Linked DNA regions of Elephas maximus indicus. The protein of the gene in region 4 purifies or fractionates together with the protein of the main gene of each other region. This does not show direct contact. Links are inferred from orthologs where the notes say so. Each region holds a gene or a part of one and is shown on either strand. Other genes may lie near its edges.

Region 1 (7,934 bases), about 38 Mb from region 4:
TGATGCGTAAATTTGAACAATCATCGTATTAACTGGTCTTTCTTATAGGCACATGGATATTATCCTTTCACTGATAGCACTGTACTTCGGAATAGAAAAAATTAGAATAAGGTCTATAAATTAGCTAGGAGTGTACTGATGTCAATTTCCTTGTTTAAATAATTTTATTATGGTTATGTAGGAAGCTGGGTAAAGGGTATACAAAAAATTTGTGTATTATTTTTGCAACTTTTTTTAAATCTAAAATTATTTCAAAATAAAGACTTTAAAAAAATTGTACCTGATACAGGTCAGCAGTCATCAATTTTTTTTCTGGAAATGGCCATATAGAAAATACTTTAAACTTTGTGGGCTGTATGGTCTTTGTGACCACTGCTCAACTCTGCTGTTGTAGCATTAAAGAAATCAAAGGCAATATATAAATGAATGGGAGGGGCTGTGTTCCAGGAAAACTTTTATTTATGGACACTGATACCTCATTTTCCTATAATTTTCACATATCATGAAATATTATTCTTCTTTTGATTTATTCCCCACCATTTAAAAATGTAAAAACCATTTTTAGCTCACAGGCCATGCAAAAACAGTGGGGTCACATTTGTCCCACAGGCTGTAGTTTGCATACCGCTGGTCTAGGTGAGAACTGGCTAATGTGTGCTTCATTTAAAAAGCAAGAGTGTTTTACTCAAATAAGTTTGACAGTATTAAACAAGGTTAAACACATTTCTTTATTGCAAAACTTCTCAGTGCCTTTAATATGGTACTATAAACTGAGAAATTTCAAGAAGGGATAATAGTACGTAGCTTTTCCCGAACTTATATTTACCACAGAACCACCTTTTCAGCAGCATATCTTCAGATTAGTGACCTGAAGAGCACACTCATGAAAATGTTAATTTAGGTACTTCTTTAAAAAGGAAACCTTTAGATTAAGAAGTTTTAAACACTTATCTCCCAACCACCAAATTAAGATCATTTCACCTGGCACCTGGATAGTATCTGAACAAGCATTTCACAACTGTTTTTAAACATGGGAAACACACACAAACAAGCAGATAAACACAGGCAGGAAGTCTTGGCTCAACTCCGACCTTTTCTTTTTTTGCATGTCAGCAGAATTGAGTCGTAACATGGATTCTCGGCTCCATAGGGCAACTTATGCATTCTTAACCACTCTAACAGACTTTTAAAAAGTGAACTACTCTGAATTCTGCAGATCACAAAATAAGGAACTCTGGTGTCCGATTAGAAAACTAAAGTTATATCAGAAGTACTATCTGCAGATTACACACTAGCGACGATGAACTGGCCGGTTAAGTCCGTAAGAGGACAGGTTTCATATGCTGGATGAAAAGTTAGCCAATAGACTGCAAAAACTCTCTGTCTGCACAACATCTATACAACACACACTGCTGGTGAGAGGATTAAGGAAGGATTTATGTCTGAGGGAGGAGAAGGCTGGCCTGCACAATCTCAAAGTGTCCTTCCAACTGAGACTTCTCCACTCTGTAACCCAAAGAGTTCACTGGCTTTACCTGATCAAACACAAAATCTTAAGGGGGCACTTCCAAGGTGTCCTAAGAAAATAAACTATTAAACGATGGAGATGGGGAACTGCTTAGTTATTTGTTCAACAAACATTTAAGGAACCCCTATGAGATGTTGAGCCATTCCAAAGTCCCTGAAAAGAGGGATGGTGCAAAGAATAAGCAGGCATAGATTACATAAGGCCAGACCCACTGGCTTTACTCCCAGGGTTGGGGGTCATCCAAGAAAAAGAGGCAGAAAAAAGAAGTCACATGTACTTTGAGGGTAGAGTCAGCACCAGAAAGGGTCAAAATAACTACTTAGAATCAGAGACTTTCAAGGTGGAAAAAACATCCACCTAATGCCTACACACCTCCTGAACAGGGAGTCACTACCTCTTGAGGCAATCTATTCCATTGCTGCTCACCTCTGATGGTTCTTCCATTAAGTGCTTCTATTAAGTCAAAATCTTCTCTTCCTGATACTAGTTCTGCCTCCTTCAGTCCCAAAGAAGTGGAAGCCCTCCTTGACATAAAACCTTTTGCTTTTTAACGACACTTCCTCCCTTCCAGTGCACTCTTTGCTGGGCTAACCATTACAATTCTTTCAAGATCCTGAACAGGCTCTAGCTGCCTCAAAGCGAAGAATGAATCCTTGTACTCCCAGCAAGAAAGCACCTAATATTAGTGGGTTTCAAACATGAGTACGTATAGGATTCCCACGACTCTTATCCAGATTCTAAACCAGAGGTTTTATGTGAGGCCCAGGAATCTGCATTTTAAAACACGCATCCCGGGGGATTTTGAAGCAGATGGTGTGAGAATCATATTTTGACGAGTAGTACCCCGTTTTACAAATGAGAAAGCCGAGGCCCAGCACAGGAAGGAGATTTGGCCCAGAACACACAACTGACTGTAGGTGGCGAAGTCTCCAACACAGGTCTCTGACTCCCAGTCCAACTCTGTTCACCACGTTTCCTAGCCTCGGCCTCTATACTAGGGCAAACGCGTTAAAAGCAACCCCACGGTGAGACAGGAGGTCCCGTGCGGGGGTGGAAGGGCGCGAAGGGAGTTAGGGTCAGTCCCTGTCTGGAAGGGAGCGCTGGAGGGAGTCTCTCCCCTTCTTCGGGACGGAAAATCAAGACGCTAGCCCCATTTCCTTCCGAGGCAGAAGGCCCAGGGCATGGCCGTGCTTGTTGCCTCCGAGTTCCGGGTCTCAGGTGCCACAGCCCGTGGGCCCCAGGAAGGCAGAACCCGGTCCCACGTCCCCGGCTCCCAGCCTCGCCAGGCCCGCCACCCCAGACCCTCACGTACCTGCCTCCGCGCACCTAACGCCGCCTAGGCCACTCCACCCTGTCGGCCTGTCGGCTGACCTGCCAGTCAACCGGCCAAGGAGTCCGTGTGGCAAGACCTTCGACCCCACCTACGCGAACTCTAGTCACCTGACTCGGAGCCGCCCCTCTTAAGGACTTCCGGCCGCGACCGGAAAAGGTTGGTCCGCTGCGCCGTTCTCGGGTCTAGGACCCGGATCTAAGGTTCCGCCTGCGGACGGGAAGCGGTTAGCTTTTCGAAGCGCTAGAGTAGGGGTTCTTTGAAGAAGAGACTGATAACCAGAGCTAGGGCAAGGAAAGTGTGGAATGAGCTTGTTCCATCAGAATTTAAGGAGGTGTTCTTAGAATAATAGGCATATGTCAAAGGACACAAGCAAACTCGAAGAGGATCCCACTGGCCAAATTGGGACAATTTTAGCATCAAAATACATAATGATAGTAATGGAATATAGCTAATTGAACAAAATAGTAATTCATGAGTCTTTGCTGACATAAAGAAGTGAATAAATAAATAAATGGAGAAGACGGTAAAACTCTATAGTAGAATGCCAACTAATAAACATGATAGAGAACCAACAAATATCCTAAAGGAATAGGTTATTTAGACTGTAAAAGTGTCTCCCATAAATTACTTATTAACTACAAAAGGAAAGTATTAGTTTTACAGAGGTGTAACCTAGTGGGAAGAAACCCGGGTGGCGTAGTGATTAAGAGTTTGGCTGCTAATCAAAAGGTCGGCAGTTTCAATCCACCAGGTGCTCCCTGGAAACACTATGGGGCAATTCTACTCTGTCCTGTAGGGTTGCTATGAGTCGGAATGGACTCCACGACAACGGTTTTGGTTTTTGGTTGACACAGTGGAACAAATGATCAAAGTAATGGACGTTAAGATTACCAGGAGTTCAAGTAGAGATCACGTGCCTCTGAAAACAATGCACTGAGAAGGACAGAACATCTCTTCTGCCAAAAATGTCTAACTTGAACCTTAAGAGGAAGCATTAGATAAACGCACATTGAGGGAGATTCTACAAAATAAGTAACATGTACTCTTCAAAAATGTCAGTGTCATTACAGACAGAGAAAGGCTGTGAAACTGTTCCAGTTTAAAGAGACTAAAAACAAACGACAACTAAATGTGATGTGTAATTCTAAATTGGACCCTGGACTGGGGGTGGGGGCAGGGGATAGCTTTAACGGACCACACTGGAACAGGTGATGAGATTTTAATATGGATTATGGGTTAGCTATTAATATGTATTTTTTCAACGTTAAATTTTCGGAACTTGATCACTGTACTGTAGTTATGTTAAGAGAATGTCCTTAGGAAATACTCACGGAAGTATTCAGGAGTAAATAGACACAGTTTCTCCAACTTAATTTCAAATGATTTAGAAAAAATGCATATATGTAAAAATAGAGAATGATTAAGAAAATGAGACAAAACAAACTTTTGGTGAATCTAGGTAAAGCTTGTATGGGAGTTCCTTATATAGTTTTTGCAACTTTTCTGTAAGTTTGAAATGATACAAAAATTAAAATTTACAAAAAAATGTGGGGGGAGGTGGCTGGGTCCTTGCCAATTCATTTATTTATCTATTAAACTTTGATTATTGCTTTCCACATGCCAGTTCCTGTGCCAGGCACTGGCGATGCAGTGAGAGACAGGATAATGTGCTTTTATGCCTAGTGGAAAAGATGTTAAACTAACTTGTAATCACACAAGTAATGGACCAGAACAAAACATTGCACAGTTCTGCGCCATCCTCACGTTCATCGTTATGTTTGAGCCCCTTGTTGAAGCTAATGTGTCAATCCATCTCGTTGAGAGTATTCCTCTTTTTTGCTGACCCTCTGCCTTACCAAGAATGACGTCCTTCTCCAGGGACTGATCCCTCCTGATACAGTCTATCATTCTTCACTTCTAAGGAGCATTCTGGCTGTACTTCTTACAAGACAGATTTGTTCATTCTTCTGGCAGCCCATGGTATGTTCAGTATTCTTTGCCAACACCGTAAACCAAAGGCATCAATTCTTCTTCTTTATTCCTATTCATTGTCCAATTTTCACATGCATATGAGGTGATTGGAAATACCACGGCTTGGGTCAGCCACACTTTAGTCCTCAAAGTGACATTTTTTGCTTTTCAACACTTTAGAGAGGTCTTTTACAGCAGATTTGCCCAGTGCAATGCGTCTTTTGATTTCTCAACTGCTGCTTCCATGGGTGTTGATTGTGGATCCGAGTAAAATGAAATCCTTGACAACTTTGATATTTTCTCTGTTTGTCATGATGTTGCTTACTTGTCCAGTTGTCAAGACTTTTATTTTCTTTATGTTGAGGTATAATTCATACTGAAGGCTGTAGTCTTTGATCTTCATCAGTAAGTACTTCAAGTCCTCTGCTTTCAGCAAGCAAGGTTGTATCATCTGCATATTGCAAGTTGTTAATGAGTCTTCCTCCCGTGTTAATGCTGTGTACTTCTTCATCTAGTCCAGCTTTTCCAATGATTTGCTCAGTATACAGATTGAATAAGTATGGTGAAAGGATACACCCTGAGACACACCTTTCTTGATTTTAAAACACGAAGTATCCCCTTGTTCTGTTTGAACAACTGCCTCTTGGTCTATGTACAAGTTCCACATGAGTACAATTAACTGTCCTGGAATTTCCAATCCTTGCAATATTATCCATAATTTGTTATGATCCACACGGTTGAATGCCTTTACATAGTCAATAAAACACAGGTAAACATCTTCCTGGTATTCTCTGCTTTCAGCCAAGATCCTCCTGACATCAGCAATGATATCCCTCATTCCATGTCCTCTTTTGAATCCAGCTTGAATTTCTGGCAGTTCCCTGTTAATGTACTGCTGTAACCATTTTTTAATGATCTTCAGCAAAATTTTCCTTGTGTGTGATATTAATGATATTCTTTGACACTCTCCACATTCTGTTGGATCACTTTTCTTTGGAATGGGCACAAATATGGATCTCTTCTAGCTGGTTGGCTAGGTAGCTGTCTTCCATATTTCCTGGATAGAAGAGTGAGCATCTCTAGCACTGCATTTGTTTGCTGAAACATCTCACTTCATAGTCCATTAATTCCCGGAGCCTTGTTTTTCACCAGTGCTTTCAGTGCAGCTTTGACTTCTTCCTTCAATACCATTGTTTCTTGATCACATGCTGCCTCCTGAAATGGTTAAATGTCAACCAAAGCTTTTTGGTACAGTGACTCTGTGTATTCCTCCATCTGCTCTTGATGCCTTCTGCAGCATTCAATATTTTCCCCATTGTCTTGGACATTTAATGATGCAAAAGAGAAATACCACAAGTGGATGGCTTCAAAAAAGATAAATTTATTCTCTTGCAGTCTAGTAGGCTAGAAGTTCAAATTCAGGGTATCGGCTCCAGAGGAAGGCTTTCTCTTCTTGGCTCTGGAGGAAGGCTCTTGTCATCAATCTTCCCCAGACTAGGAGCTTCTCCATGCAGGAACCCCAGGTCCAAAGGATGCACTCTGTTCCTGGCACTGCTTTCTTGGTGGTATGAGGTCCCTGTGTCTCTCTGCTCGTTTTTCTCTTTGATATTTCAAAAGAGATTGGCTTAAGATACTATGTAATCATGTAGCTCTCATCAGTATAGCTGGCACTAATCCATCTCATTACATCACAGTGATAGGAATTTACAACACATAGGGAAATCACAGCAGATGACAATAGACAATTATATGATACTGGGAATCATGACCTAGCCAAGCTGACAGATATTTTGGGGGGACACAATTCAATCCATGACACCCATAAAAACAAACCTGTTGCCACCGGGTTGATTCCGACTCATAGCAACCTGAAAGGACAGAGTAGGCCTGCCCTATAGGGTTTCCAAGGAGTGGCTGGTGGTTCCGCCTGCTGACCTTTTGGTTAGCAGACAAGCTCTTCAAAATTGGAACTTCAGTTTTGAATTTTTTCTTCAGCTCTTTCAGCTTGAGAAATGCTGAGCATGTTCTTCCCTTTCGCTTTTTTAACTTCAGGTCTTTGCACATGTCAATATAATACTTTATCTTCTCAAGCTGCCCTTTGAAATATTCTGTTCAGCTTTTTTACTTCATCATTTTTTTCCATTCCCTTTAACTACTCTACATCCAAGAGCAAGTTTCAGAGTCTCTCCTGATATCCATTTTGGTCTTTTCTTTCTTCCCTGTCTTTTTAATGACCTTTTGCTTTCATCATGTATGATGTACTTGATGTCATCCTATAGCTTGTCTGGTCTTTGGTCATTAGTGTTCAACACGTCGAATCTGTTCTTGAAATGGTCTCCAAATTCAGGTGGGATATACTTAAAGTTGCATTTTGGCTTTTGCAGACTTGTTTTAATTTTCTTCAGCTTCAACTTGAACTTGCATATGAGCAACTGATGGTCTGTTCTGAAGTCAGCCTGTGGCCTTGTTATGACTGATGATACTAAGCTTTTCCATGGTCTCTTTCCGCAGATATGGTTGATTTGGTTCCTGTGTTTTCCATCCAGTGAGATCCACATGTATAGTCACTGTTTATGTTGTTGAAAAAGGTATCTGCAATGAATGTCTGTCAGTATGTAGTTCTGTGGTGGCTTGCGTGTTGCTGTGATGCTGGAAGCTATGCCACCAATATTTCAAATACCAGCAGTCACCCATGGTGGATAGGTTTTAGCAGAGCTTCCAGACTAAGGCTGTGAAGAAGGACCTGGCAGTCTACTTCTGAAAAAATTGGCCAATGAAAACCTTATGAACAGCAGCAGAACATTGTTTGATATAGTGCCGGACGATGAGCGCCTCAGCTTGGAAGACACTCAAAATACGACTGGGGAAGAACTGCCTCCTCAAAGTAGTGTCGACCTTAATGATGTTGCAGTAAAGCTTTCAAGACCTTCATTTGCTGATGTGGCATAACTCAAAATGAGAAGAAACAGCTGCAAATATCCATTAATAACCACAACGTGGAATGTACAATGTATGAATCTGGGAAAATTGGAAGTCGTCAAAGATGAAATGGTATGCATAAAGACCTATATGGTAGGCATTGTTGTTGTTGTTGTTGTGTGC
Region 2 (7,263 bases), on a different chromosome or scaffold from region 4:
CCCTTTCGTGTCTGGCTTCTCTCACTGGGCATCACATTTTCAGGGTTCATCCACACTGTAGCGTGTATCAGAGCTTCACTCCTTTTAATGGCTGAATAAATCTTCCATCGTGTGGATGGACCACACTGTGTTTACCCGTCATCTATGAATGGACACTTGGGTTGTTTCCACCCTTTGGCTCCTGTAAACGGTGCTGCTGTGAACCTTGGTGTACAGGGATCTGTTTGCCTCCCTGCTTTCAACTAATGGTGACTTTTTAAGGGTGTTGGGTGCACAGTTTGCATTTGTGGTGAAGTTTAACTTGTTCTTGGAGGCTCTGTGTTCCTGGCAAGTGGAAGTAAGGTTTACAGCTACACCATCTGATATGGCAGCCTCTTGCCCCATTTGGCTATTTAAATCCACTGCCGTTGAATCCATTCCAACTCATAGCGACCCCGTAGGACTGTCTTAATTATCTAGGACTGCTATAACAGAAATACCACAAGTGGATGGCTTTAACAAACAGAAGTTTATTCTCTTACGGTCTAGGAGGCTGGAAGTCTGAATTCAGGGTACCAGCTCCGGGGCAAGACTTTCTCTCTCTGTCACCTCTGGAGGAAGGTCCTTGTCATCCATCTTCTCCTGGTCTAGGAGCTTCTCAGCACAGGAATCTCTGGTCCAGAAGACTCACTCTGCTCCTGGCACTACTTTCTTGGTGGTATGAGATCCCCCGTCTCTCTGCTCACTTCTCTCTTTTATATCTCAGAAGAGATTGGTTTAAAACACAACGTAATCTTGTAGATTGAGTCCTGCCTCATTAACATAACTGCCTCTAATCCTACTTCATTAACATCATAGAGGCAGAATTTACAACACACAGGAAAATCACATCAGATGACAAAATGGCGGCCAGCTACACAATACTGGGAATTATGGCCTAACCAAGTTGACACACATTTTGGGGGACACATTTCAATCCATGACAAGGACAGCGTGGAACTGCTCCATAGGGTTTCCAAAGCTGAAATCTTTATGGAAGCAGGCTGCCACATCTTTCTCCAGAGGGCTTAAACCACCGACCCTCTGGTTAGCAGCCGAGCGCTTGACCACTGCACCACCAGGGCTCCTTATATGGCTATTAAAACTTGAATTAAGTTAGAAAAAAATAAGTTACATTCAAAACTAAGCTCCTCAGTCACACTGGCCACATTTTGCAGGCTCAGGAGCCCCAGGTGGCCACTGATCTTATTGGCACTGGGCAGAGGCTTGACTGGCCTTCCCCGGAGGCCTGGCAGCTGTCCTCTGCCTCACATGCAAGGCCCCCAGCGCCCCACAGTGAGGCTGGGCTTCCTCTCCTCGTCAAGGGGATGCCCACCCAGTCTCTCCACTGGGAAAGACAATTTCTTCTCCCTTTATGATTTTTTTTTTTAATAAGCTGGGCATGATTCATAATTTTTTTTTCCTTTTATTGTGCTTCAAGTGCAAGTTTACAATTCAAATCAGTTTCTCAAACAAAAACTTATACACATTGTAATGTGACCCTAGTTGTTCTCCCTACAACATGACAGCACACCCTCCCTCTCCACTCTATTGATTCATAATAATTTTAAGGGGAAAAACAAAACCAGTTGCTTTCCAGTTGACCTGACTCATGGCGACCCCACATGTGTGAGTAGAGCTGTGCTCCACAAGGTTTTCAATGGCTGGTTTTTCAAAAGTAGATCACCAAGCCTCTCTTCTGAGGTGCCTCTGGGTGGATTTGAACCACCAACCTTTCAGTTAGTAGCTGAGCACTTAGCGAACACCTACTGTATGCCAGGCCCTGTACAAGGCCTGTGTAACAGGAAGAGAACAGCTTTGGCTTTCTTGTCTTTGTAGGGGAGGGCCCCATCCATCCGTCTGTCCATCTGTGTCCAGTGAGGAGGCACAGGTAATTATGAAATCAGCAGCTAGGTCTGGAAGGTTCTCTCCAGCCTCCAGGCCACAGCTGGAAAGTTTCCTCCCTCCCTGACAACTCCCCCACCCCCGCCCATGTCCCCACCTCTCTCAGGGGCCTCTGTGCCCATCACAGCGTGAAGCTCACTGTCAGGAGGCAGACATCACCTTGTCTGTCTCCCTGCCAGTCTCTCGGCCCACAGCCACTACTGTGAGCCCAGAGCCCAGCACAGGCCCTGGGAGTCTGAAAGTTCATTGCCCAGAACCCTTTCCGTTTTTCTTTTCAGGCCTGGGTGCCTAACCCAGAGTCCAGCTCTCCACTAAAACGTCTTTGCTTTCTGCCAGCCTGTCCCTCTCCTCCCCCTGCCCTTCCAGGCTTCCTGCTGTGGCCAAATCTGCCTTGCTTTGGGGCGCTTGAGCACCAGACACACAGTCCCTTGCCATCGAGTGGATTCAAACTCATAGCGACCTCGTAGGACAGAGCAGAACTGCCCCATAGGGTTTCCAAGGTTGTAAATCTTTACAGAAGCCAACTGCCACAGTCTCCCGCAGAGCGGCTGGTGGGTTCCAACTGCTGATGTTTCCGTTAGCAGCGGAGCTCTTAACCACTGCCTACCAGGGCTCCTCAGATACACAGTGCTATTGCTAGGTGCCCTGGAGTAGGTTCCAACTTCCAGCGACCCTGTGCGCAACAGAACGAAATACTGCCCCGGCCTGCGCTGCCCGCATGATCATTGTTAAGTTTGAGCCCATTGTTGCAGCCGCTGTTCGTCAATCCATTTTGTTGAGGTCTTCCTCTTTTTTGCTGACCCTCTACTTTACCAAGCATGATGTCCTTCTCTAGGGACTGATCCCTCCTGACCACATGTCCAAAGTATGTGAGACAAAGCCTCACCGTCCTTGCTTCCAAGGAGCACTCTGGTTGTACTTCTTCCAAGACAGACTTATTCATTCTTCTTGTAGTCCATGGTATATTCAATATTCCTAGCCAACACTGTAATTCAAAGGCGTTGCTTCTTCTGTCTTCCTTACTCATTGTCCAGCTTTCGCATGCATATGGGGCAAGTGAAAATATCATAGCTTGGGTCAGGCAGTCACCATAGTCTTCAACGTGACATCTTTGCTTTTTAACTCTTAAGAGTTTTTTTTTGTAGCAGATTTGCCCAATGCATTACGTTGTTTGATTTCCCGACTGCTGCTTCCATGGGTGTTATTTGTGAATTCAAATAAAATGAAATCCTTGAAAACGTCAATCTTTTCTCCATTTATCGTGATGGTGCTTATTGTTCCGTTGTGAGGATTTTTGTTTTCTTTATGAACACACAGTAAGCGATCCTCATTTACTTGGTGCAGTAATATACTCGGGTGCTAGGAGGCACCCAGCACCGGGCCCGGGGCCCCGTGGGCCGTCCAAGGCTGCGAGGCGCGGTCAGGAGTGGGGTGCTGGTGGAGGGGCAGGTACACGTCCCACTCCGAGGCAGCCAAGAGGAGCGCGTGTCCGCAGCTCGAACTCCTTCCTGGGTTTGGAGCACTTTGCAGTCGCCAGGTGCACACAGTTTGCAGCGGGACACACGCTGGTCCCGCCAGACCGGGCCGGGGGTCTGGGGAGCCAGGGTCTGACTGTGCAGGGGCGAGATGGACGCTGACGCAGCCCGACTCACAGAGGGAAAAACTAAGACAGTTGCAAGAGAGACCCCCCAACCCGAAATCTGGGAGCTCTTAAATCCGTGCATGCAGCAGGCATTCGATAAATACCCCCAGACGCGCACGGTTTCTAAGGACACAGGTGGCGGGGCATAGCCGGGCCCTGTCACTTCACGGGCAGGGTCCACTCTGGCTGGCTGCCGCCGTCCTGGAAAAGAAAATATGGAACGCTTCACGAATTTGCGTGTCATCCTTGCGCAGGGGCCATGCTAATCTTCTCTGTATCGTTCCAATTTTAGTATATGTGCTGCCGAAGCGAGCACAAGCAGGTGCCACCCCGAATCCCTATTTATAGGCTAAGACCAGATAACTTTTACAGTTATGCCTAACTATATACACGTTATATCTTAAGTATAATCTTCCACAGCCCTATATTAAACAATATCTCCCCTAGTTAAATTTACTTTGACTGTGTTTGATCACGTTAAAATCCTCAGACGTTAGCCTATTTTACCGCCCAAGCGTAGCCAGCAGCCGCGGAGCCTTATGGGGCACTATATGCAAAAATTCTGCTCGGATGCAGCCCCGCCCCCCGACGCCGCCGAGCGTAGCGGCCGAGCGACGGGGCGGGGCCGCCGCGGACGGTCCTCCGGCATCCCAGTGTGCCCCGCGGACGCCGGGGGCGCTCTTGCCCGGCGCAGCGACTCTCTGGCACCAGCAGGGCCGCGGCTGGACGAGGAGGCGGAAGATGGCGGCCGCGGCCGGGGGGTTGTAAGGATCGCGGCGACAGGCCGATGGCGGCCGGGGCGCGCCCTCGGGGATCCGCGGAGCGTTAGGGCGCGACGCTGGGCGGCATGTCGGAGCACGCGGCGCCCGGGGCCCCGGGGCCCGGGCCCAACGGCGGTGGCGGTGGCCCGGCCCCCGCGCGCGGGCCTCGCACCCCCAACCTGAACCCCAACCCGCTCATCAACGTGCGCGACCGGCTCTTCCACGCGCTGTTTTTCAAGATGGCAGTGACCTACTCGCGGCTTTTCCCGCCCGCCTTCCGCCGCCTCTTCGAATTCTTCGTGTTGCTCAAGGTGACCGCGGCCCCCGACCCCGACCCCTGACCCCGATCCCTTCGGCCGACCTGTGACCCCGACCCCTGATCCTCGCCGAGACGCCGAACCCCTCCTGCTCTGAGGCCTGGACCCCTGACTCCACGGATTCGGGACCCTCCCCCGAACCTGCGATCGCTGAGCCTAGTCGCTGACCCCAATTCCTGGGCCCCATCCTGGTCTGAGACTCCCACCCTGGAAGGCACGAGCCGCACCCTACAGGACCCCCCTGATCCCAACCCCAGAATTCTCACCCCGGCCCCGGCCTCCTAGGGGCCCCTTCCTGCCCTCCAACGCCTGGGGTCCTCAGCCTGGGAGGACGGCCCTCCCAATCACCATCCAGCCCTGACCTGCCCTAAACCCCAGTCCTGGACTTTGCCAGGAACCTGGTGCCTCAGGACACACCCCCGCCACCTTCGTCTCTTCTCCTGCCTGCACCCTGATGCCCTCTCCCTGGAGCCCGCAGGAGAATGTAGCTTAGTTAGGTCACTGGCCGGACTTAGTCGGAGTTATGTGGGCACCGCGCCTTTCTTGTGGAGTCCTGCTCCTGTGGGTCTGGTTGAACAGGCTCTCCTCCCTCCTTGCTGTCCAAGGCCCTGACCCTTTCCTGTCCCCCCTCCGATGGACAGAGGGCTCCGCTGTGAAGGCAGGTTCTGGGGACCACCATCGGTACTGAGAAGGCCAACTTACTTGGCAGATCCTGCTCAGCGGGAGCCACGGCCTGAGACCCGGAGCTGGCCCAGGTCGCTGAGCCACCCAGGCTGGAGCTCCAGGGGCGCTGCTTGAGCAGGGGATCTCGGTTGTCACTAGACATTTCTGAGGAAGCAACGAAATGGCCGTTTTCGTTTCCGTTGATGGCTGGTGGGTGAGGGGCTGACCCGAGGAGTCCACAGTGGACTCCAGTTGGGAGCTGCGGCTCTGGGGTTTGGTGAAAGAGGCTCATGGAGCCTTGTGGGTCGACAGACTTGGATGGGGTCCCAGCCGGGAGGAGGCACCCCAAGTTCTCCTATGTGAGATGGGACTCCTGTGACTGAGTATTGGTCAGTGGCATTTTGCCGTCAGGCCGACTGGCAGAGGCTCTTCTCAGGGTGTGTGGCTTCCTCAGGGAGGAGAACCCTGGCCCTGGGTTGACACTGAGGGTGGCTGGGGATCCAGACAGGACCCTCTGCCTCAGTGGCCGGAGCACTGAGCGTCCCCCGAGGTCATCCTCCCTGAAGACACATATGTGGCCCTGGCTGCATCACTTCCTGATTTGAGGTGTGTCAGAGGTCAGGGCTAATCTGTCTCACCTGTGTGCAAGGGGCTGAATGGAGCCAGGGCTGAAAGACCCCTGCCAGTGCCCAGACGTGCTCTGGCAGGGAGGCTTCGCGACCGTAGGCAGTCTCCTGACCCACCACCTCCTTTCGCCTGAGTGCTGGAATGCGTGGTTCTGTTCCTTGTGAACCCTTCCCCCGGCACCCGTGACCTGAAGGCTGTGCTGGGCTCCAGAAAGCTTCAGCCTCGTCTTCTTGCCCTCCCAGGGTCAGGCATGCTCGTTGCAGTGGCTGTGGCCTCCCTTTGCAGTCATGTCTTGCCGGGGGGTGGGCAGGCCTTGGGCAGTTTTTAGGAAACAGCCATACAGTGCCCACTGCTGGAGTGTGGGAGAGGTGGAGCCGGAGGGTCTGAGAAGACCCCTCTGCCCTCAGCCCCGACCCACCACTGGCCTCCACAGCTGTGGGGCCAGAGTGAGGTCGCTGGGTAAGCAGAGCAGTGGGCACTGGGAGGCAGGCTGGGAAAGACCTGCCAGGTGGCAAAGCATCCACGGTGCCCTGCGGCTCGGGCTGGCAGCATCAGGGACGGCTTCTTGGAGGAGGAGCGGGGAGAGTGTCAGCTGCTTGGGTTGGGCTCTGGACACACCATGAGCAGCAGACCAGCAGAAATCACCAGTGTCCTCTGGGGACAGCATCACCTGGTGAGAGCTGCTGCTGTCCCATTTTACAGGCGAGAAAACCATGCCTCATGGGGCAGGGCTGCTAGCCATAGGTGCAACCAGTCTGGGAGGTTCCCTGTGCTCTTGGTGGTCCCAGCTGACTGCCAGGCCTGGGCAGTGGGGACAGAGGGTGCCTGGCTCCACAGGGAGGTTTCTTTTTAGCCGGTGCCATCAGGGGAGCTCTGAGGCCAGTTGGAGTGGCTCAGGGAGTTGCAATAGGACCAGTGGGCTTCCTGGAGGTGGCAGCTCCTAGCCTAAGCCACTGCAGGACCGCAGACATTAAGTGGCGTTGGTATGCCCGGCTAGTGGGTTTCATCTGCTGGGGTCAGGCCCAGCCTGGTCTCTCCCTGGGTGGGGGGTCCTGCACAGTCCCCAAGAGGGTGCCATGGGACTTGTCTGGCTGCAGGCATTGGTGGGGTGGGGCTGTGTTGGGGCACCCCTCACCTCTGGCTCCACCCGGTCGGTACTCAGCTAATGTGTGAGGGGATGGCCAGGTGCTATTTGTGCTGCAGCCAGGAGCCACCCCACTTCTGAGGGTCTTCCCGGTCCGGGCCCTGCTGACGGGGTTCCTCCTGGGTTCCAGGCGGGATGGCGGGTCTCGGTGGCCCCCGCTGACCCTGTGCCCTTCCCAGGCCCTGC
Region 3 (7,439 bases), on a different chromosome or scaffold from region 4:
AATTGCCCCACAGGGTTTCCCCAGGCTGTAACAGTTAGGGAAGCAGACTGCTAAATCTTTCTCCTGTGGAGCAGCTGGTGGGTTCGAACCACTGGCCTTTGGGTTAGCAGCCAAGCACTTTAACAACTGTGCCACCTGGACCCCTTAAGATGCTAATAGATTTGTATCATTCCAAAATTGTACTCTACAGAGATAACTTGTAGAGAGATGCCAATATGTAAAATAATAGCTTGCAGGATTTGCAGAAGGAGCTGTTTTTTGTTTTCTCTCCTTTGGCCTTAGTGGGCAGGGTTTTATAAAAAACTGAATCTGAATGCCTCAGGCAGGGCACCAAAAGGATCCATTTCCACAACGGACCCACCACATATTTACTCAATAATGTTATCTGTCAGGCCACCAAAGGCTTTTGACCTTGTGAACCCTACTTGGCTGCTAAAGCAGCAACTAAATGGGTAAGGAGGAAAACTTACAGAGCACACATGCAGAGTCTCAGAAACCACAGAAGGCCAGCATGAACACGTGAAAACCAAAGAAAAAAGGTGGAAAACGGTTAAGAAGATCAACTGAGAAATGAAGGTATTATCAACAGATAGGAAGAAATGATAAGGTTACGTGAGGCAACACTGCTACTGAAAAAGCTGAGAAGAAAGAAATTTTCTTAAAAATAATTTTCACAGAAAAATCAACAGATTTTACATAGTATTTGATGAAGAGGTATTAACCTTGGAATCTGAACACCGGCTTTGTAAGAAGAAACTCCTAAAGGAAAAAAAAATCATTAAACAATACTAGTGGTTGTTATATAAGTACAATAGCAGTTCTTTCTCAAAGGCTTTTTTATATCTCTGACTTAAAAAATATATCAAAGACTACATTATAATCTTAACATTTGTCAAAGGCACTCTTCACTTCAAATTGTTTACCTGCCAACTCAAATGCAAAAGCAGATTTGAGAGCAAGAGATGAGTTCTCTCTCTTCTCCAGTCTTTGGCAGCTTTACACAGCCGTAGAGGAATGGAACTTCACCCTTCATCACCTTCTAGTAATCTCTACATCAGAAGGACCAGGAGACTTCATTCCACAGCCCCCAGAATTCATAAATCCCACTGCTTCCTGATGAAGCACAGTGGGATTAATTATAACAAATGAGTTGTATATCATTCTATCAGCCTGGAATATTAATCCCTCAGTCATTTACAGGCTACTTTCAACCTCAAAAGGTTAAGCACTTGGCTGCTAAGGAAAAGGTTGGTGGTTTGAACTCAACCAGTGGCTCCGTGGGAGAAAGACCCGACTATCTGCTTCCCTTCCCTAAAAGATTACAGCCTAGAAAATCCTACGGGGCAATTCTACCCTGTCACATGGAGTCTCTATGAGTCCAAATCCACCCGACAGCACACAACAACTCAAGCCCAAATGGGAACCTGAGAAAGAGACAAGATCCAAAACGCGGATGTAAAACCCCCAGTGACTAAATCTTGGAGTCACTTTTCTGATCACTGTGGAGTTTATATAACAGGCATTCAAAGTCCAGGTGGAAGCAAAATTCTTTAGCCAAAATACAGTTGACCTGCCCAGCCTGAAATTATCTGTTTTCATAAATGAGACAAACACGTATGCCTTGTAAATGCTGCTTATCTTGCACTGGCAGGCAAGCTGGAAGTCTTGTTTTAAAATGGATCACTAGAAGGAGAAATCCCAAGTTAAAATAAAGAGCAGCCTCTTGACCCCGAATGCTGTGTTACCCTGCTTCCAACATCAAAGAAAACCGTCATGAATCATCAGGTAAGGGCAGCAAGAGACGAAGCACAGTTGTGTCCTTTTTTTTTTTTTTAAAATAAATAGCACCCAAAGAAGACGAGCAAATACCAAGTGGCAGTAAAAAGTTGTGAGAGACGGCCGCCCTCCCAACAGCAATGTCCAAACACAACGAAATGCCTAAAATTCCCCCATACTCAGCTTCTGAATTCTCCCATCCCTTGTAGCTATGAGTCGGAATCGACTGCACAGCAGCGGGTTTGGGTTTTGGGTTTGTTTGTTTTGCCCTGTCCTTTTCACTGGAAACCCGCTAATAACTTACTCATGCCAGACCCAGTCAGAAAAGCCTTTCAACTTCTGTCCACTTACTCTAACGCTCCCAGTAGCTGACTCCTGATCCTCACCTCCCCGCTGAACCTGACCTGAGGTCTTCTGATTTCCTTCCCCAGGGTCCCTCAGATACCCCACCCTGTCCCCACCTTTTACTTGCACCCCTTCCTCCCCCGAGTACCCTAACCCCTTCCCTGCCGTCCCTGCGCTGTCTCCCCTGCCCCGGGCCTGGCCTCTTCGACCCGCGCGCGCCCCCACCACGCCTCCTGGACACCTTCCTCAAGCCCCCAACTTCCTAGGGCCGCCCCCTCCTCACGCCCTCACCCCATCTTCTGCCCACCGCGGGCCCACTCCAACCCCTCAACCCTCTCCTTCCGCGAGCGCAGTCTCGGTCCCCCGGCCCCAGGCCCCCGCACACGGTGGTCCCGTGGGGAGGCCACGCCCCCCATGGATAATGGGTGACGGGGCGCCCCCGCCCCGCTTGGCCCGTCCACCTCTGCGGGGCCAGTGGCAGCCTCGCTCACCCAGACGAAGAGGCTGTCCGAGAGTAGGTACTGGGCCACGTCGCGGGCCCGGGGGCCCCCGGCGTCCGCCCGGCTGGGAGCGGGCTGCTCCGACTCGCCGGGCCCGGGCCCGGGCCCGGCCTCGGCCTCGGGCTGGCTGAGGGCGCGGTAGGCGCTGACGATGGTGCCGAGCAGGGCCAGGCCGCTGAGGCCCGTGTAGGTACGGAGGCTGGGCCAGGGGAAGCGCTCGAGGAAGAGCAGCGGCATGGCGGCAGCGGCGGCCTCCAGACCCCAGGCCTCCCCGCGCTGCGGCCGGGCTTCTGCGGCGGCCTCGCGAAAGGCGCCCGCGGCCTCTGGCGTCGCTCCCGCCGCCGCTGCCGCCGCGCCAGGCCAGGCCGGGCCTCTCCCGGCCGTTCGCGCCGCTCGGCTCCGCCCCGCGCCGCTCCCGCTGCTGCCCCTGCCGGCGCAGAAGAGCGTCGGCGGGCTCGGGGCGGGCTGCCGCTTCCAGCGGGGCGCGGGCCGGACGGGCGCGGGGGCGCGGCTTCGTCCCCCGCCCCCTGCCCAGCGCGGCCGCGCTGCCGCCTCCCAGGCCTGGGCCTGGGCCCGGTCCCCGAGAGCCGGCACCCAGCTTCATCCTCCACCGAGTCACCGGCTCGGCCGGGCCGGCGGGCGTGCAGGACACCAGCCCCGGTCCGAGCCAAGGCCGTGACTCAGGCCCTGGGGCGCTGACTGGGCGGCCCAGCCCAGGCCGCGTGGCTGCCCCTCGGGACGCGGGAAAGCCCGGCCACCAGGCCTGCAGCCACTTGCCCTTGGTACCCCTGTGGGCCTAGACTTCCCAGGTGCCTGAAAGAGGAGGCAGTGCTTGGGGAATAATAGAGACCGTGATCACAAAAGCAAGAGTATTAATCTGTAGTCTTAAATTTCTCTGCAATAAATTGTGTTAAATTTCTGCCACTTGCCAGTATTATAGTCTCTATCACAATCTAAAACGAACCTGATTTAGCACGAAATAAAAATGTGTCCCTTCATACACTGCTGGTGGGAATGTAAAATGGTGCAGCTACTTTGAAAAACAGTCTGGCAATTCCTTAAAAAGTTAAACATAAAGTTATCATTTGTTGCAGCAGTTCCACTCTTAGGTATATACCCAAAAGAAATGAAAACATACCAACCACACAAAATCTGTACACATGTTCACAGCAGCAGCAGCTCTAATAATCAAAAGTCCTTATTCATGATACATGGACAACCTGAAAGTCCATCAACTGATGACCGGGTAAACAAAGGGTGCTATATCCATGTTGCCCTGTGTCATCTATTCCAACTCATAATGGCCCTATAGCACAGGAAGGGTTTCCTAGGCTGTAATCTTTACCTGAGCGGATCCCCAGGTCTTTTCTCTGGCAAAGCCAATGGTGGGTTTGAACAGCCAACATTTCAGCCAGCAGCTGAGTGCTTAACCACTGCGCCACCTGGGTTATTTGGTATAGCCATGCAATGGAATATTATTTGCCTTAAAAAAGAATGAAGTACTGATACATGTTATTTGTAAATCATAATTTTCAAGGTTTAACAATTGAGATTGATAAACCTTGAAAACATCATGCTAATAAAAGAAGCCAGACACAGAAGGCCACATATTGTATGATTCCATTAATATGAAATGTCCAGTATAGGCAAATCTATAGAAACAAAGTAGGTTAGTGGTTGCTTAGGGCTGGGGGATATAGGTGACTGGTGCTGTGGGGTGACGGCTAAAGGATACAGAGTTTCTTTTTGAGGTGATGAAAATGTTCTGAAATTGATTGTGGTGATGGTTGTCCAACTTTGTGAATATATGAAAAACCATTGTATTGTACACTTTAAATGATGAATTATCCCAATACATAAAGTATATCTCAATAAAGCTATTACAAGAAAAAAAAAGTTACAAAAAATTTTTTTTCATTATCTTGGAGTCTTATTCCTCAAATAATGCTTGGCCCAGAGTAGGTCTAGGTGGGTGCAGGAGGTGCCACCTGTACCTGGGTGTCACTGTCCCTCAGAGGGGTGACACCAAAATGACCGTCTATAAAATTTTTGTGCATTGTTTCAGCAGAAATTTTTTATAAAAATATCCCTGTAAAAATGGTACTGGTGAGGAGTGAGCTTCTTGGATCAAGTAGACGCATGAGACTATGTGGGCAGCTCCTGTCTGGAGGAGAGATAAGAAGGCAGAGGGGGGCAGAAGCTGGCTGAATGGACACGGAAACAGGGTGGAGAGAAGGAGTGTGCTGTCCCATTAGGGGGAGAGCAACTAGGAGTATACAGCAAGGTGTATATAAATTTTCCTATGAGAGACTGACTTGATTTGTAAACTTTCACTTAAAGCACAATAAAAGTTAAAAAAAAAAAAAAAATTCCCCATAGCTAAACCACAAAAAAAACTTTTTGTTAAGCTCAGTTTACATGTATGTATCAATATACCTGCAAGGCTAGAATTCTATGCTAATTGACTTTTTGAACTTTCTAATGCCCTTTGGAAACCCTGGTGGCATAGTGGTTAAGAGCTATGGCTGCTAACCAAAAGGTTGCCAGTTCAAATCCACGCAGCGCTCCTTGGAACTCTATGGGTCAGTTCTACTCTGTCCTATAGGGTTGCTATGAGTTGGAATCGACTCAACAGCAACAGGTTAATGCCCTTCAGTCAGAGTTGCCATTATTATCCGGGTACAATGATGCTTCAAATCATGTAGTTTCATCTCCACGCTATAAGCACTGCTGTCGTTTTCATTCCTGCCGATGTTTTTATAGTTACTGATTTTGTCAAATTTTCCAGTGTTCTAGCTATAGTATTTGTGAAATTATATCAATAATTTTTTTGAGAAAGAAGCAGTAATTAAAGGAAAAGAAGGAGTGATATACAGGAATTATGATTTACAAGTAACATTAGTACAAAAACATTACAAAGGATTCTGTACAGCCTAGTACAGGAGGAGGTGGGGGGTAGCACCATGAGTTACCACACTGGGTAACACCAATCCTAGTGATGCCACTGGTAGGTCCTCAGTAAATATTTGCTCAATCAAGAGGAAAGGACTAAATTATTTGTAAGATCTCTTTCAGGCTAAATAGTCTAAGAGTCTATTAATTAGATACCAAAGAAGGTCTCTCAAGGTTGTTACCAACCACTTTGAAACTTTTAGAAACGTTTTACTAAAGGGTCTATGATGGGACCTCACAGTTTGGTTTTACTGGAGGTCAATTTATACACACACATATTTTATACGAGATCTACAGGAATATTAGACTCCAGTTCCTTTTGGTTGTCTATCCAAGGCCATTTGATTAAAATGCTAAATGTTCTATTTTCTTGATAAAGAAAAGCTTTATTTTGGAAAAACGATGATAGTAATTTTCCAGGGAAGAAAGTGTTCTACTTTATAGGTCAAGATCTGAGCCATGATAATGTTTAAACCACACTAACAGGCGATCCATATTCAATCCAAGTCAAAATATAGGCAGTTACAAAATACTACACCCTATACTTGCATAAATATGGAAGAGATCAATATTTGTGCCTATTCCAAAGAAAGGGGATCCAACAGAATGCAGAAATTATCAAACAATATCATTAACATCACACACAAGTAAAATTTTGCTGAAGATCATTCAAAAGAAGCTGTAGCAGTATATCGACAGGGAACGGCCAGAAATTCAGGCTGGTTTCAGAAGAAGACATGGAACCAGGGATATCACTGCTGTCAGATGGGTCCTGGCTGAAAGCAGAGAATACCAGAAGGATGTTTACCTGTGTTTTATTGACTATGCAAAGGCATTCAACTGTATGGACCATAACAAATTATGGATAACATGGCAAAGAATGGGAATTCCAGAACACTTAATTGTGCTCATGAGGAACCTGTACCTAGATCAAGAGGCAGTCATTCAGATAGAACGAGGGGATACTGCGTGGTTTAAATCAGGAAAGGTGTGTGTCAGGTTCATATCCTTTCACCATACCTATTCAATCTGTATGCTGAGCAAATAATCCAAGAAGTTGGACTATATGAAGAAGAATGGGGCATCACAATTGAAGGAAGACTCATTAATAACCTGCACTTTGCAGATGACACGCCTGGCTTGCTGAAAACAAAGAGGACTTGAAGCACTTACTGATGAAGATCAAAGACTACTGCCTTCAGTATAGATTACAACTCAACATAAAGAAAACAAAAATCCTCACAACTGGACCAATAAGCAACATCATGATAAGATGGAGAAAATATTGAAGCTGTCAAGGATTTCATTTTACTTGGATTCACAATCGACGCCCAAGGAATCAGCAGTCAAGGAATCAAACAACTGAGATCACAACAGAGTGTCCACGACAGAGCCGAAAATTGTAGAACAAAAATCAAATTCACAAAAAAGACCAGGCTTCTTGGTCTGCCAGAGACTGGAGGAACTCCAGAGAGTATGGCCCTAAGAACACCCTTCTGGAACGGAAGCCATTCCTGGAGACCACCTCCCAGCTAAACAATAGACAAGCACATAAGATAAACAAAATACCCAGGAGGAATGTACTCCTTGGAAAAATCAATTACGACATCAAAAGAGCAGTACTTAGCCAAAAGCAGATGAGAAGGCAGGAAGGGGTAAAAATCATGATGAAAGAAAATGTGGAATCCAGGGCAGAAGGAAACCCTGGTGGCATAGCGGTTAAGAGCTACGGCTGCTAACCAAAATGTTGGCAGTGTGAAATCAACAGGTGCTCCTTGGAAACCGTATGGGGCAGTTCTACTCTGTCCTATGGTGTCGCTATGAGTCAGAATTGACTGGACAGCAATGGGTTTGGTTTGGTTTCAG
Region 4 (7,543 bases):
AGAGACTTGCATAAGATTGTAGGCTGAGGCTAAAGAAGTGGTAGAAAAGAACAAGGTAAAGATAGAGAAGATAATTGAAGGCTCTGGGTCCCTGAGGAAAGAGGATCCAGCAGGAGCAAGATTAAGAATCCAGGTGGAAAAAGGCAACGTGCATTGCCTTATCCACCGAGATTTACATATCAAGTGCTAAGGTATCTCTTTGTCTATGGCAAAAAGTCATGTATCAATGATATAGAGAGATGTACAGATAAATGTATGCACATGAAGTTCCATAAACTCTTATTAAAAATTCCTACTGTTGTTAGCGATTTAAGGTTGGAACGTTGGAGATGGGATTGTCAAGGGACAGGTCACGCCACGCAAAATAGAGCAAGTCAAAGTTCAGACTAACAGGACTGTTGGTAAGTTTCCCAGGGTAAAGAGGTACTCTTTCTCATCATCCCTCAAGCACACTTTGGACCGTGGCCATTCCCCTCTCTGAGACTTCCTCCCCTTAGCCCGCTGTTTCTACATGAGTAAAATAAATGGGTTGGATTAAAATCACAAGGAACAACCTAAACATCCATCTACAGGTGAATGGATAAACAAATTACATATACATACAGCAGAACATTACACTCAGCAATAAAAAGGAATGAACTACTGATACACTCAACACCATGGATGAATCTCAAAATCATTATTCTGGCAGGAAAAGGGCCAAACCAAAAAAACAAGTACATGCTGTTTAATTCCATTTATATAAAAGTCTATAAAATGCCAAGTTTTCTGTAGTGAGAGCAAGCAGATCAGTGGTTGCTTGGGAATGGGGGAGGGGGTCAAAGAGAGGGGCGTGAGGGAGCGATTACAAAGAGGCATGAGAATGTTTGGGGGCATGATGGATTTGCTCATTAACTTGGTTGTGGTGATGGTCTCACAGGTATACACATATGTCAAAACTTAATTGTATACTTTGTGCAGTTTATTGTATGGCAATTATACCTCGACAAAGCTGTAACAAAAATCTAATCACAAAATGATCTTTAGGTGGCTTACAACTGACTTCCAACTCTCTTTTTTTTTTTTCATCATTATTCCTCTCTGATCCCTTCACCCAACTTCCCTGAAGGAACATCATTGTTGTTATTGTTGTTGTGTGCCATCCAGTCTATTTCAACTCATGGTGATCCCATAGGACAGAGTAGAACTTCCCCATAGCATTTTCAAGGCTGCAATCTTTATGGGAGATTTTTTTAATCTTTACGGGAGCAGATCGCCAGTCTTTTCTCCCACAGAGTTGCTGGGTTCGAACCACAGACCTTCTGGTTAGCAGCTGAGTGCTTAGCCACTGCACCACCAGGGCTCCTTAAAGAAATATCATTCACTCCAAGAAGGCAGCAATCCTGGTTTTACCAACTGAAAGCAAGAGGGGAAGGTTCTATGTAATCCTCCTAATAATTAAGGATATAACCCTTCAGTCCTCTTTCCCAAGCTCACCAAAATCTTTCTGGGATCAAATGCCCTGAAGGATGACCTCTATTCTTCACTTTAGGCCCAAAATAGAGAAAAAGGAAAAATCAAAATCAAACAAAAACTTTTTTTCAGCAACTTCCAGCCTTGTAATACAAAGAACTGAAGCCAAATACTTTATCTGGTTCCTTTGGGGTTAACTTTGGTGTTAACAAAAAAGGACTGTAACTAGGTGTAACTGTGTAAGAAGGGGGTCTCTTCCCTCTTTGGAGCAGCAGCACTTCAACAATTAGTTTAATAAGAAAACTAAAACAAAAGCAATCCAGAGACAGAGAGAGGTGGATTACTTATTGTTGTTAGGTACCGTTGAGACAATTCCGACTCATAGCGACCCTATGTACAACAGAATGAAACACTGCCCAGTCCTGCACCATCCCCACAATGGTTGTTATGTTTGAGCCCATGATTGCAGCCACTGTGTCAATCCATCTGGTTAAGGGTCTTCCTCTGTTTTGCTGACCGTCTACTCTATAAGTAGTACATTACTAGGGTAGAAGCTTTTTTAACCTAGCTTCAAACTACCACTACAAAATAAACTGGCTCAATTTGAAGTTTTGCAATTTCTGACCACTGGTATACATTCCTGAAGGGTTACATCTGAAATGAATATGGCACATGTGTGTGTTTTAAGTTGACTCATTTCTCAATTGACTTACTGTGGAAAAGAAATAGATTTGGGATCATTTGAATTTCACCTTTGCTATCGACCAGCTTTGTCATCTTGGGCAATCCCTTTTACAGATCAAGAAACTGAGGGAGAGATAGGTTACTTTCAAGGTCACACAGCTAAGAAGAGGTGGAATCCAGGATTCAAGCCCAGGCAGTCTGGCTTTGGAAGCCCTGTACTTAACCACTAGTCTATACTGCAAGTTGCTAGAAGATGAATTTTTAAATACTTTTTCTGTTAAACTGGAAACCCTGGTGGCGTAGTAGTTAAGTGCTACGGCTGCGAACCAAAGGGTCAGCAGTTCAAATCCACCAGGCGCTCCTTGGAAACTCTATGGGGCAGTTCTACTCTGTCCTATAGGGTCGCTATGAGTCGGAATCCACTCAACAGCACTGGGTTTGGTTTTTGGTTCTTGGTTTCTGTTAAACTAATCACCACAGACTTCTCTGCTTGGTGACTTTGGATACTGAGTCATAACGATCACAGGTCTCTTAAGGAAGGGACTTTCAGAAGTGTTAGATCATCATCTAGTGAAGTACACGCCCTGCCTTTAGGCAAAGCCACAATGAAACACTCAGGCGTAGGACAAGCTTCTTGAGAACAAAGTCCCACAACTTCCTCTCAAGTTCATTCCAAAGCTTAACAGTCAGAAATTCTTAAATTAAATCTACTTGAAATCCTTTATGCCTCAGGCTAAGCACCATTCCTTGGATTGATAGATCCCAGTGTAACCATTTCTCTAACTCATTCACTCAGCTATTAAATAAACATGTATTAAGCACACTCAGCTAAGCTAAATCACTGAACCTTGAGAGAAAAAGCTCTCAGGTTTTGATAGGGTCGGTCAGCTTATAGGCTGTGTTTGCCAGGGACGGATAGGGTTCAGAAAGGTGAGAGTAGAAAAGGCGGCCTTCCAGAAAAGGAGGTGGGTACAGGGTTCGCAGACAGCACCATCCAGTCTACTTGTGGGCTTAACCATATAATGCTTAAACATCCCAACACAAGCTCACCTAAAGCTAACCCAGAGGGAGAGAATGGGTCAATTCCAAGAGCCATGATGCCCGGAAAACCTAACGTTCCTTTTTCTGAACCCTAAATCTATCTAGAAGTTCCTGGGTGATGTAAACGGTTAACGCACTTGGCTGCTAACCAAAAGGCTGGAGGTTCAAATCCATTCAGAGATACCTTGGAAGAAAAGCCTGGTGATCTACTTCCAAAAATCAGTCATTGAAAACCCTATGGGGGAAAAAATAAAGCCATGTGGAGCATAGTTTCACTCTGACATACCGTGAGACAGAACTGACTAAATAACAATTGCTTTTTAAATCTGCCCAACAACACCAGCTTGCTATCCTCCCTGAAAAAACTTTTTATTTACTGAGGCTGTAATTATGGGGAGTTAACCTTTTCTTCTGCAGCCAAAATAACTTTAGTAGTTGAATGAGAAATGCTTCCATTTGGTGCTACCGAGCAGAGAAGGATGAGGATGACGTCATGGCCCTTAGACTAGGAGACACAAAGTCTAGGTTCTGGTCCTCTTCCATTTTGTCTTCACCCCGTATTTATTCAGCACCTAAGCACAGGGATGCTGAGGAGAACAGTTCCTGCTCTCAGGGAGTTTACAGTCTATCCAGGGAGAAGACCAAGTGCACAAGGCGCCCTACACCGTTGGGAGTTAGGCTCGAGATGTCAAGGTAGAGCAATGGAGGCTTTCATGGACTGTCACACCTCCACCCTCCCACCTCCGCACGTCACTGAACTTGTTATATTCCCTTGATTAAAACGGGGATAATTCCTGCTTAATCTACTTTATGGTACTATCCCAACTCTGGAAGCTCAAAAAGACCTCAAAAGGCCAAAGCTCCCAGAAAAGCATAAAGAGCAATTCAAAGTAGAAATTGTTGATTGGCGACATAATGGTGCTAATCTGCATACTTAAAAAACTGTTTCTTCCAGCTGGGCAATGGGAGGGGGACCAAGCAAAAGGCTAGAGCGGTTGCAACTCTCTATTAATGGCTCCGAAAAAAACAAACAGGTGCCCCCCCAAAGTGGCTTGTCCTAATATGGAGGGGAACCTGGAGAATTCGCCAAAGTCAAAACCTCAGGAAGTGACACCCTTGATCTCAAGCCTACGCACCCACAGCCCCACGCGTCCTCCTTCAGGCTCACCCTCCAGGCGCTCCTCAACCCCGCCCCACCACCAAAGGCCTGACGGAGCCCTGGGACGGCCCGGGCCGAGTCGCGGGCGCTCCCTGGTGGCCATAGGCGGACACTGACCACCAAGAGCCCGAGGGGCGGGGCGGGGAGGACGAACTAGGGAGCGAGGGGAAGGGGGCGTGGTCTTACGCGTGAGCTGATGGCGTCATCGGAGCGACGGGCCCGGAAGGAAGTAGTGAGCTGAGGGGTGTGGCGGTTTTCTGCGGTTGCACGGGGGTTCGGACGAGTACGGAGCGCCTGGAGGGACATCCGGGTACGCCGCCCCCGCCCCGTCTCAGTGCGCGCTCTGGGCCTCGTTACCTCTCCTGGCTCGAGCTGATCTGCGATCTTCCCGGCCTCCGCCCCAGCACACTCTCTCGTTCAGCCAGCCCACTACTGGAGCTCGAAAGAGACCCTTTCCCCGCCGTCCCCTCCCCGCTAGCCCCCAGGCGGGGCTAAGCGGAGGCACTTGGCGCCCCGGCCCGACCCAGGGTGCCAGGGCCTCTCTGGGAGGAGCGCGGAAAGGGGCGCGAGGTGGGGCGGGTGGCCTTGGAGAGACCTCGGGGAGGGAAAGCATTTGCAGAAAGGACGCAGCTGCGAATCTGCAGCTGGGACCACCACGGTAAAATAAACGCCTCGCAGACTGCGCCCGAATTATGTTAGACCCCAAAGGCAGAATCCACGTCCTGCGCGAGTAGGCCCAAACATGCAAGAATGTGAACTTTGCTGTCGGTCACCATAGATTTTTCAGATCAGTGTTCAGGGGCGAGCTTCTAGAGGCCAACTCTTTCACTTCCTGGCGCCTGACCAGTTGAACCCAGGACCCCAGAGTCTCTTGGACTCGGGAACTCCCCTTTCTTATGTAACCAAGAGTTTGGGGACCTATCAGGTGCAAAGTGCCAGTCAAGTATATATGGAAGGGAGTGTGGCCGCTGTCTTGTTCGCAGTCCTGTCCCATGTAAGGCCAAAAGAATGACTGGGAAAGTGAACGAAAGGCCGGAGAATCCTACCTTGGAACTCTGCTCGCGTGCTGTCTCTGCCACTCCAGCATCTGAAAGGAGTAAATAATGGTTGTCTCTGAAATGGCAGGCAATTAGGGTTGGGAGGCTCTGACCAGAATTACATGGCCACAACTGCCTGTCATTTGACATCCTCTGTAATTTCGTCCAACGTACTGCAGCTGCCTCTCTTCCTCTTTTTTAGCATGGGTGGCTCCATTGACAGCACGTTGGTGTTCACAGGAAGAGAAGGCTGTGTTCTGAACACTTCCCAACTGGCACTGGTTTTCCCTTGCAGGGCAGCGTCTGGAGCCACTGCCTCTTCAAAGAGATGTGGAGTATAATCCTATGGTTAAGGAATGTGAATGTTGACTGAGAACAAGGATGAAGAGAGTTGTAGATCTAGCCACGTGCTCATACTGCGCCAGGCTGGGTGTGAGCCACTGTCACGGTACTCTGTGAGGTACTCTTGCTGTCAGCTTTCCTCCTGCATACCAGACCACACACGTTTTCCTGTCTTTTCCCTAGGATAAAGGTTCACTGATGGCTCAACTGGGAGCAGTTGTGGCGGTGACTGCCAGTTTCTTTTGTGCATCTCTCTTCTCGGCTGTGCACAAGATAGAAGAGGGGCATATTGGGGTATATTACAGGTAAGGCAGAGGCAGGTAGAAGCTTCCACTTCCTGATAAATGGCTCCCTTTCCTAGTCACCATCTGGCAGACTTTGCTGAATATTTGTGTTTATATTTTGTTGAAGAAGGGAGTCTTTTGAATTGAACTTTTGTGTCAGTGATGAGATGGGGAAATATATATGTGTGTAAATGTAAAACTTTGCTTAACATTCTAAGATGACACCACAGAATGGTGATTGATATATGCATATATGGATTTAAAGAAAAAACCTAAAGGAGACCAGTGCTCCTTGCAGACCATCCCTGAAATATTGTTTCTCCTATATCCCTCTGGGATTCTTGGCTTCACGCTACTAGGTCACTTCCACCAAGGCCAGCTGAGTCCCAGTTCTTGATGGCAAACTGAGAAGATAGCCTACTCTGCTAATTTAAAGAATGGGTACTTGGGGACTACTCTTTAAAATTAACATTTCTGGAAAAATGAAAGGACCTGCAGGTTGATTAATACCAATCAAGGCAAGTCCCAGGGTGGAAGGTCTTACAGTAAACATTTCACAGTGTGTTTTATTGCTCTTAAAAAAAAAAAAAGTGTCTTTGACTTCACAATGTAAAACCAAAGAAACAGTCATAAATCATGGATTGCCTTCCTCTTAGTAATCTTTATAACCAAGTTTTTTGCTTTTAAGTTTTTATGAACCTCTTCCGTGTGCCCTGTGATGCTTATTTCTGGATTGCCAATAGCAAGTTCCAAAACTGATTGGTTTCCCCCCTCCATCTGCTTACACATGTACCAAAAAAAAAAAAGCTTTTAATTTTGTTAATCATTTACATACAACTTGATTAGAAAAGTAGCTCTGCTGCCCACCGCCCAAAAAAATTTTTTTAATTGATTTTAAAGGGTAGTTAAAATTATTCTGTGCTTTCTCATGCCACTGGACTCTAACGTTAGTGCAGTTAATTGATAATTACATGACTGAATTTAACTGCCCTAACAAATTGCCAAAAGCTCAGTGGGTATGACAGAGTAAACCAGACTTCCTCTCTCAGCCTAAGTATAGCCAGAGATTCTTCCGTCTTTATCCCACGTAGCCTGTGTGCCTATTTTTCTCCTTGCAAAATGAATAATGATTTTCCGTTTTACCATCAGGCTTCCTAGAATATGAGGGTAGAGCTGAGCGAAAGACAGGGATCTGTGCATATGGCTCTGGCATGTGCCACTTTAGATTAAATGTTTATGGGGTGGAAGAGATAGTTGGCTCAAGTGGTATTGATTCCTTAAGTATCTAAGAGAGCCTTCTTGCTAACGGAGCCTGCCTCTCTCTTCCTCCTCTGCAGAGGCGGTGCCCTGCTGACTTCCACCAGTGGCCCTGGTTTCCATCTCATGCTCCCTTTCATCACATCATATAAGTCTGTGCAGGTACACTTGGCTTGTGTGGTGTGGCTGGATGACTGCAGATTCAGGGTGGTAACTACTACATGATTTGGAATTATTTAGCCACTGAATGAGTACAATGCCTTTTCGGGGAATGATTTAAAGATTGA

Evidence for each region.
Region 1: the proteins of ERLIN2 (region 4) and RNF185 purify together in Homo sapiens (affinity purification with mass spectrometry; 5 studies listed by BioGRID and IntAct, with this or other methods). This does not show direct contact. The link is inferred for Elephas maximus indicus from reciprocal best matches to the Homo sapiens genes ERLIN2 and RNF185.
Region 2: the proteins of ERLIN2 (region 4) and TMEM259 purify together in Homo sapiens (affinity purification with mass spectrometry; 3 studies listed by BioGRID and IntAct, with this or other methods). This does not show direct contact. The link is inferred for Elephas maximus indicus from reciprocal best matches to the Homo sapiens genes ERLIN2 and TMEM259.
Region 3: the proteins of ERLIN2 (region 4) and AMFR purify together in Homo sapiens (affinity purification with western blotting; 4 studies listed by BioGRID and IntAct, with this or other methods). This does not show direct contact. The link is inferred for Elephas maximus indicus from reciprocal best matches to the Homo sapiens genes ERLIN2 and AMFR.

What each region holds. Positions count from the first base shown.
Region 1 is NC_064840.1:25,069,373-25,077,306, forward strand, and holds the start of RNF185 (E3 ubiquitin-protein ligase RNF185), read right to left. Parts: upstream 3,012-7,934; 5' UTR 2,841-3,011; intron 1-2,840. UniProt on the Homo sapiens protein: E3 ubiquitin-protein ligase that regulates selective mitochondrial autophagy by mediating 'Lys-63'-linked polyubiquitination of BNIP1.
Region 2 is NC_064821.1:739,080-746,342, reverse strand, and holds the start of TMEM259 (membralin), read left to right. Parts: upstream 1-4,252; 5' UTR 4,253-4,412; coding exon 4,413-4,637; intron 4,638-7,256; coding exon 7,257-7,263. UniProt on the Homo sapiens protein: May have a role in the ERAD pathway required for clearance of misfolded proteins in the endoplasmic reticulum (ER). Promotes survival of motor neurons, probably by protecting against ER stress.
Region 3 is NC_064839.1:23,462,100-23,469,538, forward strand, and holds the start of AMFR (E3 ubiquitin-protein ligase AMFR), read right to left. Parts: upstream 3,012-7,439; 5' UTR 2,859-3,011; coding exon 2,613-2,858; intron 1-2,612. UniProt on the Homo sapiens protein: E3 ubiquitin-protein ligase that mediates the polyubiquitination of lysine and cysteine residues on target proteins, such as CD3D, CYP3A4, CFTR, INSIG1, SOAT2/ACAT2 and APOB for proteasomal degradation.
Region 4 is NC_064840.1:62,937,325-62,944,867, reverse strand, and holds the start of ERLIN2 (erlin-2), read left to right. Parts: upstream 1-4,542; 5' UTR 4,543-4,646; intron 4,647-4,655; exon of another isoform or gene 4,656-4,994; intron 4,995-5,382; exon of another isoform or gene 5,383-5,671; intron 5,672-5,882; exon of another isoform or gene 5,883-5,898; 5' UTR 5,899-5,913; coding exon 5,914-6,020; intron 6,021-7,336; coding exon 7,337-7,418; intron 7,419-7,543. UniProt on the Homo sapiens protein: Component of the ERLIN1/ERLIN2 complex which mediates the endoplasmic reticulum-associated degradation (ERAD) of inositol 1,4,5-trisphosphate receptors (IP3Rs) such as ITPR1.